Canis lupus familiaris: one gene and its partners. The protein of the gene in region 1 interacts with the protein of each later gene in a pairwise test. Links are inferred from orthologs where the notes say so. Each region holds a gene or a part of one and is shown in the gene's direction. Other genes may lie near its edges.

The links.
Region 2: the proteins of SMAD1 (region 1) and PSMB4 interact in binary tests that used the Homo sapiens proteins (3 or more experiments, as listed by UniProt). The link is inferred for Canis lupus familiaris from reciprocal best matches to the Homo sapiens genes SMAD1 and PSMB4.
Region 3: the proteins of SMAD1 (region 1) and PIAS4 interact in a two-hybrid assay, tested with the Homo sapiens proteins (2 studies listed by BioGRID and IntAct). The link is inferred for Canis lupus familiaris from reciprocal best matches to the Homo sapiens genes SMAD1 and PIAS4.

What each region holds. Positions count from the first base shown.
Region 1 is NC_049236.1:44,457,897-44,463,778, forward strand, and holds part of SMAD1 (mothers against decapentaplegic homolog 1), read left to right. Parts: intron 1-1,788; coding exon 1,789-2,045; intron 2,046-5,254; coding exon 5,255-5,398; 3' UTR 5,399-5,882. UniProt on the Homo sapiens protein: Transcriptional modulator that plays a role in various cellular processes, including embryonic development, cell differentiation, and tissue homeostasis.
Region 2 is NC_049238.1:61,116,702-61,123,991, forward strand, and holds PSMB4 (proteasome subunit beta type-4), read left to right. Parts: upstream 1-2,934; 5' UTR 2,935-2,966; coding exon 2,967-3,106; intron 3,107-3,337; coding exon 3,338-3,544; intron 3,545-3,825; coding exon 3,826-3,972; intron 3,973-4,148; coding exon 4,149-4,230; intron 4,231-4,594; coding exon 4,595-4,711; intron 4,712-4,917; coding exon 4,918-5,006; intron 5,007-5,207; coding exon 5,208-5,220; 3' UTR 5,221-5,328; downstream 5,329-7,290. UniProt on the Homo sapiens protein: Non-catalytic component of the 20S core proteasome complex involved in the proteolytic degradation of most intracellular proteins. This complex plays numerous essential roles within the cell by associating with different regulatory particles.
Region 3 is NC_049241.1:55,942,989-55,950,283, reverse strand, and holds the start of PIAS4 (E3 SUMO-protein ligase PIAS4), read left to right. Parts: upstream 1-2,644; 5' UTR 2,645-2,659; coding exon 2,660-2,704; intron 2,705-5,102; exon of another isoform or gene 5,103-5,200; coding exon 5,201-5,627; intron 5,628-7,295.

The sequences.
Region 1 (5,882 bases):
TGGCAAAATAAATTAAACTCAAACTATATTGTATTTCAAAATGAATGTATATTAAGTGAAGCATAACAAACCAGCAGTCTCCTAGTGGTCCTGCAGGAACGACATTAGCTTCTAAGTGAGGCTGTCGGGAGAAACCCTGACCTCAGTATCATATATGCAAATAGATTAATGAACTGAGGTTTTTTTTTAATGGCAAGCTATTAAGAAACTAGAAGAAAATACATTTGATCATAGAAGTAGAAATTTTTAAGCATAAAAAGCAATAGGAAAGATCATGAGATTTGACTACTGAAAGCTTTCAAACTTCTATAGATTAAAAAAAATACAAAGGACTAATGGGGAAACAAATAGGAAATAAATTATTTATATCTTACACACAGCTCATAAAAAAGTAATAAAAATACTAGAACCCCAGTGGGATAAATAGGTAAGAAATATGAACAGTAAGTTTGTAAGAGAAACACAGATGGCTAATAAAAATATGAGAGCATATCCAGTCTCACATGCAAATTAAAACAATACTGTTTTTCAGCTATAATTTATTTTAATTTATTTGTTTTTGTCTTAAGCTCACTCAGTCCTGGCATAGGCAAAATGAGAAAGGCATTCATACACTGCTTGTAGGGTGTAAATTGATACAAGCATTCTGGAAAGTCGTTTGGCAAAGTGAATCAGGAGCCTTCGATCCAGTGATTTAACTTCCAGGAATCTCTCCTAAGGATATTATCAAAAATTATCCAGAGATATTTATCCTGGCATTGGTATAACAGCAGAAAATGGGTATCAACACTATGATCCAATAATAGCAGAATGGCTAACGTAAATTGTTGTGTCCTTATAATCCCATCGATACTTTGAATGTTTGCAGAGAAAGTTTAACACTCAAAACCTGTAATCTAGTGCATCCAGCACTTACAGTTACTACCTTTACATTACTAAACAAGGGATAGTATTTGCTGCTTCATATTTTGTTTTACTTTCTAAATGTTCAAAAATGCAAATTCCTCATTTTTATTATCGGGGAAAAGAGTTAAACAGACACGCTCACTCTCTCTCTCTTAAATTGCTTTCTCTACATCAGGCAGGAAAATGGGCTTCTGCTCTAGCAGCTATTTAATCATTACGGAAGTCTTAGCCATTGTGTGTACATGTAAACACAACACATAATTTTTTAGATTGGATTGGAGACCATAGTTTTCACATTGGCTGAACCATGCTAGAGTTACCTGCAAGATAGATTGTTTAAAGCCATATGGGATGTGACTGTGTTCACTGCGTGGCCTATAATAATCTGCCATTAATGGTGTAGGACTTTGTCAGAATGCCCCCCACCGCCCCCACTTTCCTTTTTTTAAAGGCTGGGTAGGATCGATTTCCTACACTCCTGGCACTCTAAGATGTCACAGGAAGAAGTTTGGAGCAGATGGTAGTTCGGAGAGATCAGATTCCACATAGTATGAATTATTTTTATAATTTTCTTTTCCCCTCGACCTTACATCTTACAGCTCTTAGCACTACTTCCTCCACCTGTGGTTTTCTAGTTTTTTTACTTTTCTTGATCCTCCTTTGTTATATTATTTCCTAGAAACCTCTTAAATATACAAAATAACAAAGGGATATTGTATGAACTAATACAATTAACTAAGATTTTATCAGTTGTGCAAGATTTGGAGAATGTCTAGTTAGCCAAATTTTAGATCCATGCAGATTCATATATTGAAGTTACACAGATGCTTTTCAGCTGTGAAAAATGATAATGAAGACATTGCATGCATTGTCTTCCTACAGGAGTACATCTTTACTATGTTGGAGGGGAGGTGTACGCCGAATGCCTCAGTGACAGCAGTATCTTTGTGCAAAGTCGGAACTGCAACTACCATCATGGATTTCACCCCACTACTGTTTGCAAGATCCCCAGTGGGTGTAGTTTGAAAATTTTTAATAACCAAGAATTCGCTCAGTTATTGGCACAGTCTGTGAACCATGGCTTCGAGACAGTCTATGAGCTCACTAAAATGTGCACTATCCGCATGAGCTTTGTAAAGGTAAGTGAATTCTGATTCCTCTGGTCAGGGTTTGACACACTTGCTGCGCCTTCTCTTAGTTGTATATAAATCTGTATCTTCTTGGTATGTGCCCATAGAAGCCAACTTATTACCTAGACGTTTTTAAACTTTAGTGAGGATGTCAGTTACCAGGAGAATATAATTAGAATATAGGAGAGTTTGTATTACATGTTAGCAGCATAGGCGGCTTGACTAACTGTCCTATTTGAATAAGCACTATTTTAGTCATTGTAGTACCATAAAAGAATGTCTTGTTATACATTTAACTTGTATAATTTAAATGCATGGTTTTCTTAAGAGATCAATTCAGTAAACACACCCCCCTTCCTTTTCTTTTTATTCTGTGTTCTTAATACCTTTATGATGGTAATGATTGTTGCTTTAGTTTTGACAATGAACAAGTAATCTTTTTGTAAATAAAAATTCGTAACACTGGGTTTTTTGTTGTTTTTTTTTTCCCACTGGGGTTTATTTTTGATTGGTCAGACTTTTTTTAATGGTTGTGGCAAAAACTCACGATTTTCTTATAATTCAAAAATTAATAAGACCTTTGCCCACAAATGCCTTAGTTCTAAGATTATTGTTAGGGTTGAGAATGGGGAAGGTTAAAGACATTGTTCACGGTTAAGTGATCTCTTTTATGCATTTGCCTCTGAAAAATAAAAAGTTTTAAGATGTCATTGAAATGTAAAAACATTAAATATCTGGTTAGATTTTATGAGTTGTAACTTATTCTAATGACTGACTTGTCTCTGAATTCTCAAAGATAAATTTTCATCCTCTGTTACCTTGAGAAACAGAACTAATTATATATTTGGGTGAGGCAATCACCTTTTATGTCCTCTCTTTAGAAGCTCACCTAACTTGTTGTTAAACCTGTTTGTAATGTATGTGTTACAGAGGGTAATTTTGGAAACTTACTTTGTTAATCATCCTTTAGATCAAAGATACCTTTCCCTGAGTATCATTGTTTTCTTACTTCTTTGAATCATAGTAGCAGATTTTGACTGTGTTCTCTGAATGTTGGCTTTCTCAAAACATAATTCAGTAGTTCTTTGTGGCTGAGTCTGGTGCCTTTTTAGTATTAAAGGAGGGTTTTTACCTTTTAAAGGGATTTACCAATATGCTATGTACCTATGGGACTATAAAGATCTTTCTCAGCCACAGTTAACATTCACTGTTTCGTTTTTGACTTTGCGTTTTAGCTAAAATGAATTTTAAAATGAGGACAGTCACTTGCCAGCAGTGCTTTTTGTCTGTTGTTTACTGGTATGGAGGAAAGAATACCTGTTGAGAGTCAAGAGACCCAGGTTCTAGTTTTATCTGCCATTTTAACTGTGCGGTTAAGGCACAGGGATCCTTTGCTGATCCTCATGATTGTCATCTTTAAGACCGGTAGGTGGAGTTTGGGAACTGTGGTAATCATTACAAAGGTCCCTTGGTGAGTCTACTACTATTGAAGAACCACTCAAGAGGAAATTAATGACTCTACTGCTCCAACTGGCTTTCTCCTCATGCTCATTTCATATTGATTACCTAATTTTAATGGTTTTACTTTTATACATTTTAAAATATTTTTACACAAGTACAAACTTTACACTAATAAAAAGTGTTTATGATATAAAGATCTGCATTAACAATGTATTAGATTTCATTTATTAAGCAAATATTTTTAGCACCATTCCAGAGAATTAACGCAAAGATGTAAAAGCACCTAACGTCTCTAGGATCACAATGATAGTAGCCTATTACATGTTTAACTATAAAATAATGAGATGGAATGGAAGGTTATGGACATATAATAAATCATATATAATAAAGATATAATGGACATAGTTGGGAAGCTGGATTTGGAGAGTTATGGGTAAACAAATTTCGTTTTAAAACTCCTGCTGACATGATAAAGGGCAGCTGCTTATACATTTGCAACAACAACAACAAAATTCAATAGTGTTTGTGCAGTATTGTTCTTTATTATGATAAGGGTTGCATACCTTGCCCTGTCACTTAGCATCTTAGAGAAATGATACAGCACATTTTACTAATATTAATAGCCAATCTTGTGCTATTTTGAAGACCATCATTTTGGACTTTAAAGCATTCATTTTATAAATTATTTGCACAATGAACTCCCCATATATATCTGAAAAGTCCAAGTCAATTCAGCTGAACAGGTATTTCTTAGGGCTTCTGCTTTGTGCCAGTCACTGTGCTAGGTGTTTGAGATCAAAGATAAATAAGATCTGGTCTTCCCTGTCTTCAAAGAACTTACTATCTAATGTAGGAAACATGCACACAAACCTTTAAATTTAGCAATGTATTGATATAAGTACAAATGCATAGATGTATATCGGTATGCAGTTCATATATCACAACTTTTTCTTGAAGGTTCTGATGTTCATATGTATTTCTTGAAATTCCTGGAGTAGGTAGGTGTCAGAGATAAATAGAATCCAACCTTCTCTAACATCCCTCACGAAACAAGGATTTATCAGAGCTTTATTTTCCATTGCCCACACCAGTGAGTTTTTGATCTTTGCAATTGCAAAATTAGCTTTCTCTTTTGCAATTTTAGTGTACCAATTCAGTAATGCTGAAGATGTCTGGATGTATAGATCTATTATATACATATACATCCGTGTATACAATATGTAATGGAATCTATTGATTCAGAGCAATGATTAGGTGTCAATTATAGCTTTTTGGGTATGTATGTGCTTCTGCCAGTTTGCTTGGAGATAGAAAGATCAAAAGCACTTGTGTTGATAGGAGGACCACCAGTGAGTGAGTAGGCAAGAAGCAGAATGTCTGTTTGCCTAACAGTAACTTCTGTCTTATTTTCTTGATGGTAAAATGAGAATTTAATATGTTACAGTACCATCAGTAAGGTAGTGGGCAATGAAAATGAAAGTTAGAAAGTGCCTTCATTAAAACAGCCTTATAATGTGTTTTGAAACTTCCATTCCCCAAGACCAGTACTCTTGACCTGGAATCTATGTAAGGACTTCAGGGAGCCTTGAACACACCCATCCCCTGAAATTGCCTGCCTCTTACGTGTGTTTGTGTGCACAAGCACCTGTCATGGAAAGCATCCATGTCTTTAATCAGCATGTCTGATTATGAGAACTCTTCTTATAAGTTTAATCACGGAGTTAAGCAAGTGAAATGACCTCCAATGTGTCTTCTAGGGTTGGGGAGCCGAATACCACCGCCAGGATGTTACTAGCACCCCCTGCTGGATTGAGATCCACCTGCATGGCCCCCTCCAGTGGCTGGATAAAGTTCTTACTCAGATGGGTTCACCTCACAATCCTATTTCATCTGTGTCTTAAACGGCCTCAGGCTTCTGCCTCTTGAAAACTATTGAGCCTTGCATGTACTTGAAGGATGGAATCAGACACGATTGAGAACTGACAAAGGAGCCTTGATAATACTTGACCTCTGTGACCAACTGTTGGATTCAGAAATAAAAAAGCCTTGGTAACATACTGTCGATATCAAGAACCTGTTTAGTTTACATTGTAACGTTCTATGGTAAAATCAACTAAAATGCATACTTTCAGCAGGACTTCGTATATAGTTAAAGGAGAGATGGCCAAGCCAGGGACAAATTATCTATTGGAGAAATGGTCCTAAGAGATTCTTTTGTGTTTGGCACTTTAAGGTCATCATTTGGCAAAAGTTTAGCATTAATAGTCTCTCTGAAGTGTGTTTTTATCAGGTTTAGGACCCATGTTGAATCTTCTTTTCATGGGTTTTCATAATATTTTAAAACTGTTTGTTTAGTAATGGTTTTTGTTTGTTTTTTAAGTAAAG
Region 2 (7,290 bases), on another chromosome or scaffold:
TTGGTGGAAGAGAGTCTTTGGACAAATGTAACACATGCTGTAAGAGAGACACTGTAGAAATGAACTATTGAAGATGGAAAATCACAAAAATCCTCAGAGAAGACTCACAGAGTACTGCAGCCACAGACAAGCTGGATATGCTTTCTTTCTCTTCTTTCTGTTATACTCCCTGGGGCCAGGCCCTGAACAGGTCAGGAAATGATCCTTAACTCTTGGATTTGAAGGTTCAAATTCCATTGTCCTAAAAAGTAATGAAAATGTTGGTGGGGTGATGGTGGTTATTATTTTCCAATTTAGTCTAGTTTTATTTCTTTTCTGAGAATTTCAGGATATCCCCTATACCCAAGGATATCCCGACATGTTTCAAAACCATCCTGGGGATTGCTGACCTAAAAACTTTAACTTTGGGGATGCCTGGGTGGCTCAGCGGTTGAGCATCTGCCTTCGGCTCAGGGCATGATCCTGGATTCCTGAGATCAAGTCCCACATCGGTCTTCCTGCATGGAGCCTGCTTCTTCCTCAGCCTGTGTCTCTGCCTCTCTGTGTGTGTGTCTCTCATGAATAAATAAGTAAAATCTTTAAAAAAACAACAACTTTAACTTTGGTGGGAGCACAATGTTAATTAAATTCAAAGTAACAGCCAACCATAGAAAATTAGGCACATTTAAAAAAGATTTTCTGGGCAGCCCAGGTGGTCCAGTGGTTTAGCGCCACCTTCCACCCAGGGCATGATCCTGGAGTCCCAGGATTGAGTCCTAGCGCAGGCTCCCTGCATGGAGCCTGCTTCTCCCTCTGCTTGTGTCCCTGCCTCTCTCTCTGTGTCTCTCATGAATAAATAAATAAAATCTTTAAAAAAATAATAAAATAAAAAAGATTTTCCAAAGGGGAACACCTGATTCTTGATTTAGCCTTGGGTCATGATCTCAGGGTTGTGAGATCAAGTCCCGTGTCTTGGCTCCATGCTGGGCATGGAACTTGCTTAAAATTTTCTCCCTCTCTCTTCTCCTCTTCCTCCCTCTCTTAAAGGATTCCCTCCCCCCAAAATTATACCAGACTGCTTTAAAAAGAGAAGAAGGAAATTTCCTAATTTCACTTGTTTCAGTTTAATTTATGCCTTATTTATACCTCAAAGCAGAAGACATGCTGGCCACCTGTTGTTGAGTATTGCATCATCAATTGTTGGTTTCAGAGCCATTCTTCACTCAGGCTGGATGATTTTAGGTCCTTTCATTTTTTCTTCATTTAGACCTGCCTGACTTCTGGAACTGGTACAGGCCCTACAAGATCCTTATTCCGGGGACCTACAAATGAGTGAGACCAAGAACCAGCAAGCCAGGTGGTCACTTCTAAACAGGGACATAGTCAGTTAATTGCTGATTAATTGATCTGATCAAATTATGAGGGCTCTGGCAGCTACAAATGATAAGGTATTTCATGTAGTTTTCAAGGAATCCCAGTAAACCACCATCCCATTAAGTGCCTACTATTTGTCCAAGTAAAACTGAGTGGCCCAAGAGTCACCTGGAATAATGGGTTTGGGGAGAGGAGGTGGCTATTTATTAGAGAGGAAAGTATATTTGTCAAGATCAAAAGGTGATACAGGGGGATCCCTGGGTGGCTCAGCGGTTTAGTACCTGCCTTTGGCCCAGGGCACGATCCTGTAGTCCCGGGATCGAGTCCCGCGTCCCGCGTGGGGCTCCAGGCATGGAGCCTGCCTCGCCCTCTGCCTGTGACTCTGCCTCTCTCTCTCTCTCTATCATAAATAAAATCTTAAAAAAAAAAAAAAGGTGATACAAAGGGTGTCAGTTGGGTGCCTCTAACACAAGATCTTGAACCTTCCTTTTTCCAGGGTTTCATGACCTAGTAAAATATTTTTTTTACATAATTAAACCTTCATGCATTGCTTTGGTTCAAATTAACTCAGAATTTTATTTCATTTTTAAGGATTTATTTATTTGAAAGAAAGAGAGAGAGAGATCACAAGCAGGGGGAAGGGTAGAGGGAGGGAGAGCAGCAGACTCCCCCTGAGAAGAGAGCTCAGAGCCCAAGCGGGACTGGGTCTCAGCACGGTGAGATGAGCCAAAATCTAGAGTCCCAGACTCAACAGACTGAGCCCCACTTAAGGAATTTTAAAAACAAAATTTGATTTGGTTTCCCACTGAGTAAAAAATTTGAATTCAAGTTGTGCGGGGAGACGTGGCAAAGTAGTGGTTTCGGATTCACCAGTCTGATTGTAGACACTGCTTCCACCTCCGGATACAGAACCACACTGGGAAGGGACTCCTGGAATTTCGTTTCAAGCCCATGGTCCATGGAGTTTTTCCGCTGCTTAGGGGGGGTGGGGGCGGGGGCAAAAGCATTTGACTGTACGGAAACTTTCAGACATCTGTCCAATCCCATAGAGTGAGTGCTCCCCCAGGGTATGCACACCTGGATGAATCCTTTTCTTATTCTGCGCTTGAGGACTCAGATCTACCTTTACTTGCTGTGTGGCCAGGCAAGTCACTACGCCACAAGACTTACTTATAAAATGGGTCGGATAATGCCTTTTACAAGGCTGTTTTGGGGAGTACAGACGTAAGAGATCACAGCTGACTGCTAGTTTCTTGGGTGGGGGTGGGTGGGGGCTTTTGACCAAGATCCAAAGCAGAACACGAGAATTTCTGCCTCCTCAGTGTCTCGCCATACCTACCTCCCAACCAATCTCCCCTTCATTGAATTTGTGCGTTCAGAGCACTCTGATCTAGTTCAGGCTCCGATGCGACGAGGCGGTATGCCGCGACGTCAGGCAATTCCAGCTGTCTGGGGCTCTGCGGCTGCGGCGGACTTCGAGGATCGCACCGCCAGCCGTAACCTCATCAACATGGCTGCTGGGAACAGCTGGCCGGAAGAAGTTGTGGACCCCAAGGCTCACTTCCGCTTCCGTTGGCGCAAGCGCCGTCATTTCTTCAGCCACCGTGACTAAGATGGAAGCCTTTCTGGAGTCGCGGTCCAGAGTTTGGGCCGGTGGTCCCGCCCCGGGGCAGTTTTACCACATCCCGCCTAGTTCCGTCGCCTCCGTGGAGCCGGCGTTTTCTCCTTACGGGGGTCCGGTTACGCGCACGCAGTAAGTTCTTGGCGTCCGAGCTGCGCAGGAGGCGGGACGCTGAGGCCTGGTCGAGCCGGACGGTTCGGAGGCAGCCGGGGAAGGCGCCCCAAGGCCCGCGAACGGCGGGGACCACGGCGCGGAGTCCCGGAGAATGGAAGGGGAGATGGAAAATCAGACGCGGAACCACTGCGCGGAAGAGGGCTCAGGCCCTTCTCCCGTGCCTCCCCTCATCTCCCTCCCTCTGTCTAGGAACCCCATGGTGACCGGGACCTCGGTCTTGGGTGTCAAATTCGAGGGTGGAGTGGTGATTGCAGCAGACATGCTGGGCTCCTATGGCTCCTTGGCTCGTTTCCGCAACATCTCTCGCATTATGCGAGTCAACGACAGCACCATGCTGGGTGCTTCCGGAGACTATGCAGATTTCCAGTATTTGAAGCAAGTTCTCGGCCAGATGGTGTAAGTTATCTGGAGATTAGGGAGTAGATCCCAAGTGGGGAGAGGAATTCACTGTATTGTTTTTAAATATCCCCTTAGAAGTTCTGGGGTGGGGGAATTTGAGGCTGTAGCGGAGGACAGGAGAATTGCTGAGGGTGGAAGATGATAGTGTGTGCAGCACATAGTTTTTGGCGTTAGGCAGTGTAAAATGAGGAAGATTGTGGTAACTTCTTTGGGGTGAGGGTGGATGGAATTCCCGACTTCCATTCTCTCCTTTTTTCTCATGACTTACTCCTTTTAAGGATTGATGAGGAGCTGTTGGGAGATGGACACAGCTATAGCCCTAGAGCTATTCATTCATGGCTGACCAGAGCCATGTACAGCCGTCGCTCCAAGATGAACCCCCTGTGGAACACCATGGTCATTGGAGGCTACGCTGATGGAGAGAGGTTGACTTGAAATAACTTAATTTCCCCGACTATCTAACCTCTAGTGTCTATGTAGTGTCTTGTCTCTTCTCCCTAAGAGAATGTCACTTCTCAGACCCCATGGCCCCATCCTTCTGCTAAGATACCCAAGAAAACCTAAGATGAAATTAGTTCTTTGACCTGTTGTGTCCTGTTAGCTTCCTCGGTTATGTGGACATGCTTGGTGTAGCTTATGAAGCCCCTTCGCTGGCCACTGGTTATGGTGCATACTTGGCTCAGGTACGTGCGGGAGAGGTGTGGGGGAGGCAGTGGGGGCTCGTCTCCTTGGTTCTTCTCTTAAAATTCCAATGTGAAGATAGACTAAGATCCCTCCTGCTGGCAGATAGTTTTCTTTGTAGTCTGAAAGCTGTATGTGTTGGCACTTACATTCTGTTGATAAAGTGGTGTGTCAGATTCAGTAGACATGTGCAGAGAGAAATGCCCTACAATTTACCCTTCAGGTTGGTGTTAGCACAAGTAAGCAGAATTCATTCTGGTGAGGCAGTAGGCAGAATGTCATTTTATGCTGCTTTTTACTTTGTGAATTTGGGACAGATGGGTATTCAACCCCTGGTAATCTCCCGTGTTCTTCCCATTTCCCTAGCCTCTGCTGCGAGAAGTTCTGGAGAAGCAGCCAGTCCTGAGCCAGACTGAGGCCCGAGAGCTAGTGGAACGCTGCATGCGAGTGCTTTATTATCGAGATGCCCGCTCCTATAACCGGGTGAGGAAGGACATGAATAATAGAGGATAGGACTCTTAACTAGCGAGCTGTCCATAGTTTCAGTACCTGGGTCTTTGCTTTTGAAGAACAGATTGCAGAATTTCCTATTTTCAGATTAGGGGAAGATCCTCTCCTTGACCTTTGAGCAGGCCTCAGGGACTTTATGTGGGGTGGGCATGTTCATTGGGAGTTCTGCTTTCTTTCAGTTTCAAATTGCCACAGTCACCGAAAAAGGTGTTGAAATAGAGGGACCACTCTCTGCAGAGACCAACTGGGAGATTGCTCACATGATCAGGTGACTGAAATTAAAGTTACAGAAGGAAAAATAAGTGGTAGAACAGTTGGGAGGCCCCTTGGCTTGCACTAAGCTGCATTTTTCTGGAGGTCTTAAAAGGATTCTTTGGACGGAGAGGGTTTTGGTTGGAGGATAGAGTTGCTTTTGGGAATTAATTCCTCCCCCTCTGCTTCACAGTTTTTAAATGCTCTTTCTTTTTAGTGGTTTTGAATGAAATTCAGATGCATTATCCAGAATTGAAGTTGTGCCCTTCTTCTAACTTTGAACTTGGCTGGTTCAAAGGTCTACTTTTCTACTGTAAAATAAATTCTTTGAAATGCTTGCTGAGTGGTTTTATTGTCTGACTAGGTCATACCAAGAGTGCAGGTGTGAAGTACTGCCATGTGCCATCTCCCTCCCTGGTCAGATAACCCTGCTTTGGCTCTCGATTCTTCGAGCAAATACAGGATTCTCTGAATGACAGTACAGGAGGATCCACTACCATCTTCATTTGGGCCTATACTAAAATAACAGCTTTGTATAGATGCCAGGCCTAATCTTTGTGGGATAACAAAAGTACTTAACGTTTTTCTTAAACATTGCCACCCATGTGCTAGATTCTTACTGATTTTCTGGTATGTTGGCTGCAAATATTTTAGTTAAAACACCATTTCAAAGAGAGAAATGTAGCATCTAGTAAAGCTGCTCTGGGTAAAGTTATTCCCAAGCAGGACTGGCCTGACAGCTTTAATACCTCACCCATGTTACCTCCTCACCTTCAATAGAGGAAATACAAAGTAATTTCATTTAATTTAAATGTTTATTGTCCAAATCTATCAGAAGACCTCTTTAAAGTATTATGTGTTCATTTAAAAGTCCTTTTAGCCATAAATCAAATCATTTGGAGTGTTAGCCAAATTCTCCCAAAATGGTGTTAAACCTGAATTTAAAAAATGAACACCCAGGGCACTTGGGTGGCTCACTGGTTGAGCGTCTGCCTCCGGCTCAGGTTGTGATCCCTGGGTCCTGGAATCTGGTCCCATATCGAGCTCCTCGCAGGGAGCCTACTTCTCCCTCTACCTAGGTCTCTGCCTCTCTCTGTCTCCTGAATAAATCTTTTAAATAAATAAATGAACCCCCTAGGTGATTCTGATGCATATCCTCTCTCGAATGCTTTGAGAAACTAGCATAGGTAGCAAACTCAAACTTGCAGAAGTTCAATGAGGTGAGAGAGTGGAGGGGGAGACTGAAATATCCCTGCATTTTATCATCCCATGTTATAACAAACTAGTAAGTCAAAGGAAACTTAGTTTTCTATTTGTCTTCCACATACTCAGTCTCAACACAGAAAGTAGTCAATAAATACTTTATTGATTAAACTGAATTATAAAAAAAACAAAACAAAAAAAATTTCCTTCTACTACTAAGCCATGCAGGCAGAATCCACAAATGTAACTTCCTGGCCAAAACCCAGCTGATCCACTGTTGGTGTTATATAGTCTTAAAAAAACTACCCATCAAGAAAGTCACAGTATGCAGAGGCCAGGAACCCAGCTCTGCTGAGGCTGGGGCTGCTGTGGAGACTACCAAAGAGAAGGTTAGGTCATTGTAGATAGTTGACCATAGTTCTTGAACTTTCTCAAAGGCAAAGGGTTGACTTCGAAGTCCATTTTAATGTCAAAATGGCATCAGGCAAAAAGCTGGGGAAGAGAAGCCCAAGAGAAGATAGATCCTCAGTTCACTTTTCAGATGCCATGGGTTCACGAAGCTGGCCAAGCTGTTTATGGGCAGGATCACTCCAGTTCACTATATTATAGTGTGCTGGGAGTTAAAAAACCAAAAAATGGAGGTGAGGAGAAACAGGCGTAACAAGTGTCACACCTGTACCACCAGGCCCATCACATCTTGAGCATGTCCCAGTCTGTGAAAGCCTACTAAAATAGGATTACCTAGAAAAAAAAAAAAACCACATTGTTTATAAATCCATTTCCCCTCATTTTATTAAATGTCCCACTTATATACATTTTAAAGATGAACCATTTACAAGCCTGTGCAGGCTGCCTCCTTGGCTCCCAGGAGGGACATGTTGCTGAAAGCCTTGGGATGGAAGGTGTAGCTGTGGGAAAGCTGGCCTTGGGTTTTTGTTCCTTTTCTCTGTATGATACAGTACATTTCAGTTTATAACTGTGAGTACATACAGTTAAAAAAAATCCCTCATGCAAATTGTAGAAACATTTTCTTTCCTTGAAGCTGGCAGTGAAAAATAAAGATTCGTGTCTTTCTTTGTGCACACCCCTGTGTGTTT
Region 3 (7,295 bases), on another chromosome or scaffold:
GGGGCAGCGTCGGGCCGTCCTGATTGGCCCGGGGCCCGGGCGGCGGTCGCACGCGCCTGCGCACTGCAGGGCAGCGCGCGCCGGGGGGGGGCAGGAGGGCGCGCGGTGCTAATTGGCCGCCGCCGCGGCCCCGCCCGCGAGTGGCGGGCGGTCACGTGACGCGACGGCTGGGGGCTCCCGGCGCGGGGGACGCTGGTGGCCAAGATGGCGGCGGAGCTGGTGGAGGCCAAAGTGAGTGAGCGGCGGCGGCGCCGGCCCGGGCGGGCGGGAGAAGGGGCGGGGGCCGGGCGGCGGGCGGAGGTCTGCGCCTTCCGCCCGGGGCCCCGCGGCGCGGCCCGCTTGCGGTTCGCCGCCCGGCCCCCTCGCCCGCCCCTGGCCCTGGCGCGCCGGGTGCGGGCGGGGGGCGGGGAGGCCGGGGGCGGGGCCCCCCAAACCTTACCCCAGCCTCCGCGCTGGGGGTTGGTTCCCGGGCGTGAGGCGGGGTCGCCCCCCCGCCCGCCCGAGGGGTTGGGGGCGAGTCTCCCGGAGCCTGGGCGCAGGGCCGCGCCTCCCGGACAGCCTGACGGGCTGGGCTGCTCGTCCCCTCCGCGCCCCGAGCCGGGCTCCTGCTCTTTGGCCTGGGGGAGCGTGTTCGCCTCGCCGCCCCCCGTGGCAGCGAGGGTCGGCCCCTGGGTCTCAGCCTCCCTGCCCAGCAGGCCGGCCGGGCTTGGCGACTCCCTGCTCAGAAGGGCCCCGTGCCCCTTGTGCCGCCGCTTCCCGCGCCCGGGGTGACGGGCCGGGGTCCCGAAGCACCCCCCAGACGCCGCGTCCGCTTGGGGGTTTGTACCCCGGGCTGGAGGTCGCCCCCCTGCTTCGGCTCCCGCGTTGGTCCCGGAGCCCCGCCCCCCTCCCGACACCGTCTCGCTCGCCCTCGGAGTGGGCACCGGGTCTCTCGAGTTTGCTCTCCCGCCTGGGATGGAGCCCTGCCCCTGTTCCCTGTTCAGAGCCTTCCTCCGTGCCCGTCTCCTCGGTCTTGGGTCCTGGGCTCTGCCTTGCTCCCCGTTTTTACTCTCGGGACAGCGTTTGTGAGATTTTGGACTCTGCTCCTGGGGTCTCTCAACTTCACGCTAACAGAATTAGACCCTGTGCCGGCTGTTTCCTTTATACTCCCAAGTGCTTCTACTGAGGTGGTACTGTGTCTACGCAGCTCCCCAGAACCTACTTTAGATCCCTTTATACGCCCCAACTCTGGCTTCTGAGGCTGCCTCTTCCCTTCTGCTGGTTTCTTGTGTTGGTTCATGGAGAGTGCTTCTCCACCCTCTCTCTTTAGTGCTTCTAGTGCTTCTCCCTCATGCTCCATTTTGGGGTCCAGGTTCCACATCCCATAGAGGCCATTTCTGTTCCAGGGGTACTGTCTTCCAGGTACCTTGCCCCACACTACAGTGGGGTTGTTCCCTTCCTCCCTGAGAAGTTTACTCCAGGCCTTTGGTGGCCGGGAGGTGGGAGACCGGACCTTTCCTGGACAGAGGCTCCGCCTTTTCCCCTCCCACTGATCTTCCCTCCCCAGGTCCTGACCTGTAAATGTTTTCTTTCTCCTGTTCCTCTCTCTCCCTCCATCTCCCTTCTCTTCCTGCGGAGATCTGAAATGCAGTTCCCTTCCCCCTGGAGCGTCCCCCTCAATGCCTGTACTACACTCTGCCCTTCTGTAGGGTTTTGAGAAATTGGGACTTGCCCTGGAGATGTGGAAGTCTGAACTCTGCATGCCCAAGGTAGCAGCCAGTGGGCTTGAGGACCCCCGGAGCCCTCAAATAAAGCCGTCCCATAGGGCTGTGACTCTGGGTGTACCCCACCCCCCACCCGGTCCCAGTCCCAGCCAGACGGTAGGGACTGAATTCTTTTATACCATCCAGGGCCTTGAAATATGATCTCATGAACTCTACTTGACCCTCCGGTGGCTGGGGCCCCCACCCCAATTAAATCAAGTTGACCCTTTTTTCAAGTTCTCTAGAACGTGAGCCTCTGTTCAGTGACACAGCTCGCTCCGAGCCTCGGGCGCCTTTCTTTAGTCTGTGGCTGCCACTGTGGAGTGTCTTAGGTGTCGTTGAAGTGTTCTCTTCTTTTAGGTGCTTACCTAGCCTTTTGTAGTAACAGGGGCTGGAGATTTTGTCTTTTGGAGTTCAAAACAGGCTGGTCCTCAGGGAGAATGACAGGGGCTTGTTGGTAAACTTGGAAATCCGCCTTTGCCTGAGGCCCCTGTGAGGGCTTGGGGAGAAGAGGCAGTCTGGGAACCCCTTGAGATGGGAGCATTTTGCACAGATCTCCCATTTCCTGGCGATAAGGACCTTAACTTTCCGCCACATTCAGAGGAACCTATACCCGAGACGGGTTAAGTTAAGCGCGGCAGCTCTATCCAGGCTGATGTTTTTCCACATAGCTCCAAACAAGCCCAGAGTTGAGACTCTGGAAGCCGTGGGGGCCTGGTGCTGTTTATAAACACAGATCTGAGGGGCAGGCGGGTAGGATGAAGCCATGGCAGGAAGTGATTTGCAAAGTGCTTGGGGCTTCTTCCTGAATGTTTGTGCCCCTCTCACACTGTCCCCCCTCCCAGTGTCAAGGGCAGGCTCCTTGGTGGTGGCAGCTGCTGAGAAATCCGAGTCGTGAACATATGGCAGCTTGAGGGATGTGCCCCAGGATGCTTGTGCGGCAGCTCCGGATGTCCAACCTGGTGAAAGGGCTGGGCCATGGCGGGGGCAGGGTGCTCCCAGGGGCGGGGTGATGGTAGAAGATGTGTTGTGGTCAGACTCGGCACACCGAGCCCACCTGCCTTTAGCTCCGTGGAGGGCACTCAGCTTCCACATGACGTCTCCTCTCCCCTCCAAGGCCTTGGGCCTCTTCCAGAAGAAACATCTTGTCTGCAAGCCTATTTTCTCTGCTCAAGGTAGGAAGTCAGGCCAAGGAAGGTGAAGTCTTTGTGTTTTTGTAAGCATTCTGGGCTCTCTGAGAGCCTACAGATTGCTTAAGTCCCAAGGCAGGAGGTGTGCTGGGATGTGAGGGGTCCCCAGGCCCCCAGATAGCTGGGTGGGAGTGGAAGGAAGTGCCCTTGGGACTCTGATGGCTCCTGCCACTGACACGTGGGGAGGCTCTGGGCCAGCCACGTTTTTCACGGGGCCTCGGTTTTCTAACCTGCCTGGTGGGCGTGGACCCTTGTGAGATTCGTGGCCGCAAAGAGCCCTTGTGCTTGGTGTGTGGCGGATGCTCCACATCTGTAGTGTGGGAATAGGAGGAAGGCCCTGCAGCGGGAAAAGGCTCCCCCTTGAGATTTTGCAGGCAGGATGGGCAGCCCCACATGTGTGTATCTGTCATTTTGTGCCTTGACAGCCTCTCTGCTATCAGCAGGAACCTGGTGGACGGCTGCCGAAATCTTAGAGGGCTCACATCTTGCATGGGTAGATGAGATGCCCAAAGTGCAGAGGGACCCTACAGAGGACCTGGGGTTGCCTAGGAACCCAGAGCTCCTGAGTCCTGGTGCTGCCCTCAGACTACACGCCTCACCCTTCAACAGCCAGGAAACGGGAAACACCAGAGCCTTCTGGCAGTGAGACTGCTACGTAAACACCCTGGCAGGGTTCCCACCCACCTCTAACTGTCAGACTCTCAAGTTGAATTTAAGGGCTTCATTGGTTTCCTTGGGTGCTGTCCTGCCCTGTGCCCGCCAGCTTCCCATATACACCTTCATCACTTGTACCTGTTTTCCCCATTCCCCTGGAAGTTTCTTTTTCCCCACCACATTTCATTCATTGCAGGCCAGCTTTGGGGCTCAGTGTGGGTGGCCCTGAAACCCTGCCGGCCTATCCATCCTTCAAGGATACTTTGCTTATGTAGCATATTGCGGAGTGTCAGTCCCCTTGGCGTCCCAGAGTCTCCCCGAGGCCAGGCTATGGTCAGGCCGCCCCAAAGAAAACATCAGCGTCAGCTGAGCTCTCGTGTTTGGTTTGATTTAGTCGGAGGGACCCTGCCAGGTAGTAAGTGCCAGACTCTGCTAGACCTCTTTCATCACTTTGCCACAGCTCACAGCCTCCGTGGCTGCTGTATTCCCAAAGCCTTCTCCTCAGACCCGTGGTTCTAAATGGGCCGAAACTGTTCCCAGGGCACACTTGGCAGTGTCTGGGGGACCTTTGTCATTATCACCACGGGAGCTTGGGGAGAGTTCCTGGCATCGAGTGGGTGGAGGTCAGGGATGCTGCTGAGTACCCAACAGTGCCCAGGATGGCCCCGCCCCAGAGAACAATCCAGTCCCAACGTCCACAGGGTCGAGGCAGAGAAGGCCTTCTGGAATGATCAGCAGACGTTTGATGTTCACCAGTGCTCAGCCCCATGTGGACACCCCTAGTGCAATAGAGAGAAATTACCCCTGGCTTTGGAGTCAGGCCTAGGTTTGAATCTTGGCTGTCATGTGGAGCTCCCCACAGCCCAGCAGGATTGTCATAAGAATCAGCGTTGAGTATATGATCACATGTGCAGCTCAGTTCCTGGCGAGTGATTGGTATTAAGTCGTGGCTACCATACTCCAGACTGAAGGGAAAATGTGTTTGTGGCCAACGTTGATTTTCTCTGCTTTCCGTATGTTACCTCATCTGGTCCTTCCCACATCCCAACGAAGTGGGTCCTGTCATCCTGACGAAGAGACTGAGGGTCACAGAGGCCATTAGTGTTCTTGGCTAGGGAGTGGCTGAGGCTGTTTACGGGTAAAGGAAGATTCCCAGTTCCTGCCCTGGGGATGCTTTCAGGCTTGAAGATGGGAAAAGAGAACTTAAAATAGAAGGCAGCGGTGTGTGTTGGGGGGGCGGTCAGAAGCTTTTGCTGCGTTGGCAGTGCTGAGGAAGGTTTGAGGAGGAAGAGGTGGAGGGGAGCAGGGTTAAGCTGGGAGGGGGCATCATAGGGAAGGGTGAGCGGGCAGCGTGAGCAAGGTCATGGAAGTGGGACTGAGCCTGGGCTGGTGGGCCTGGTGCCTACGCCTCCTCCTCCTCCTGGGCTCCTGCTCCTGCCCACCAGAGTGAAGGGGGTCTGGAGGGAGGGCCAGGCAGCACCTGATGGGCTCTCCTTTCGCTGTCCCCCCCGTTTAGGGCCCAGGTGGCTCCACGAAGCCCCTTGCCCCATTGGCAGTCCCCGAATCTGGCTGTGTCTCCTCTGAGCGTGTGTATCTGTGGTTGCTCTTCCCCAGAACATGGTGATGAGTTTCCGAGTCTCCGATCTTCAGATGCTCCTGGGTTTTGTTGGCCGGAGTAAGAGCGGACTTAAACACGAACTTGTCACCCGGGCCCTCCAGCTGGTCCAGTTTGACTGTAGCCCCGAGCTGTTCAAGAAAATCAAGGAGCTGTACGAAACGCGCTACGCCAAGAAGAGCTCAGAGCCTGTCCCCCAGCCCCACCGGCCCCTGGACCCCCTGACCATGCACTCAACCTACGATCGGGCTGGCACGGTGCCCAGGACTCCCCTCTCGGGCCCCAACATTGACTACCCCGTGCTCTATGGGAAGTACTTGAATGGACTTGGACGCTTGCCCACCAAGACCCTCAAGCCGGAAGTGCGTCTGGTGAAGCTTCCCTTCTTTAACATGCTGGATGAATTGCTGAAGCCTACAGAGCTGGGTGAGTCTGCCACCACCTGGGGGTGGGGGGCCCCGACCTGCACTCTCGCAGTGCCTCTGGGCAGCCACAGTCACTGACCCAGAGTGTCTCCTGGGAAGCAGTGAGGGCCAAGGGGTGGGGGTGGGAGGGCTTTCCTTCCCAGGAAGCACAAGAGCCTCCTCTGGATCTATCAGCAACCTGGTGAGTCGTCTCATGAGTACCCTGAATCTCAGTAGCTTAGCACCACAGGCACTCATCTGCTCTCAGCTTGTGAGGGTTAGAACTTGGGAGTGACTTAGTGGAGTGGTCCTGATACAACCTGATACACGGTCACTCATCAGGTCTCATCTGAAGGCCCGACTAGGGCTGGGGGCCACCCACTCCCATGCTTGCTGGCAGGTCTTGGTTTCTTGCTGGCTGTCAGCAGAGACCCCACTTCTTGCCATGTGGGTTCCATAGACTGCTTGAGCATCGTGACAGCGTGGAATGATGGCTTGCTTCCTTTGGAACCAGTGATGGTGTGGGAGAGTTAGTGTGCGCACTTGAGAGTGAATGATGTAGAACAGGGAGAAGCCAGAAGCAGCTAGAAGTCGTCTCCATGACCTCAGCTTGGAAGTGGCCTAACTGCCACACTCTATCAGTCACACAGAACAGCTCTGTGTTGTGGGCCAGGCCTGGACCATCGGAGGGAGGCATCTCTGGGGGCCACTGGGGATGCTGGCTTGTGTGCTCTAACTCCCTGTGGCAGAGGGGCTGGAAGTTGGATCTGATCTCCCTTCCTCCTGCAAAAGGCTTGTTTCCTGGTAGGCGGCCTTCGGAGTAACCTTGGCCAGTGGGGTGCAGTCTGGTCACCATGGGCCAGCTGGTTAGGGAATGGCTAGCTGTGCTCCCAAGAGGTGGGACACCGCCAGGAGTGTAGGAGACAATGCCAGGGCCCTGTGGTTCCTGTCTGCCATAGAGAAATTCTCTGACTCCCAAGGTTGATGGTGTGCTGCACATGGATGGGCCCCTGGTCTTTCTCCGGCATCTGTGGTAGTGGTGGGGTGGGTGGGCGTCAGCCTGGCCTCGGCCTCATGTGCTCCCACCAGCCACAGCTGCCTGCGCCTCCAGGGCTCCAGATGGCAAGTCTAGTAAGAGGGCTTCTTGGCCCCCCTTGGATTTGATGGGGTCCCTGTGTGGTCCTGGAGACCCCTTTTGTCATCATTCTTGTCTTCTTTGCCTTGAGAACCTGCCAGGTGGATGCCCATGGAAGCCCTCCCTGGGGACGCCCACCCCGGGGACATGGCAGGGAGCAAGCAGAGCACCCCACCCTCATGAAGGTTCCCTCCGGCAGTCCTGGAGGTGCCCCGAGCATGTGTCGGCACCGTGGGTCCTGCTGTCTCCCTGTAGCCCTCATCCCCATCTCCATTTCAACCTCCCACGTCTTTGCCGAGCCCCCGCTGCACACCAGCCTCTGGCCCTGGTTGTGAGTTGGTTTTCTCTGTAATGTGGCAGAGGTCACAGCCCCTCCGTGCCCCCACCCACCGGGCTCTCTGCCGTGTGGTTCACTCCCTCCCTCCCTGCTGACCCAGCATCCTGTCTTGCTCAGCCAAGGGGCCCCTCTGTGCATGGAGAGCTCCACGCCAGCCACATGCCAGCCAGCCCACTCTGTCCAGCCCTAGCTGGGGGGCAGTGGGAGGGATGCGGCTG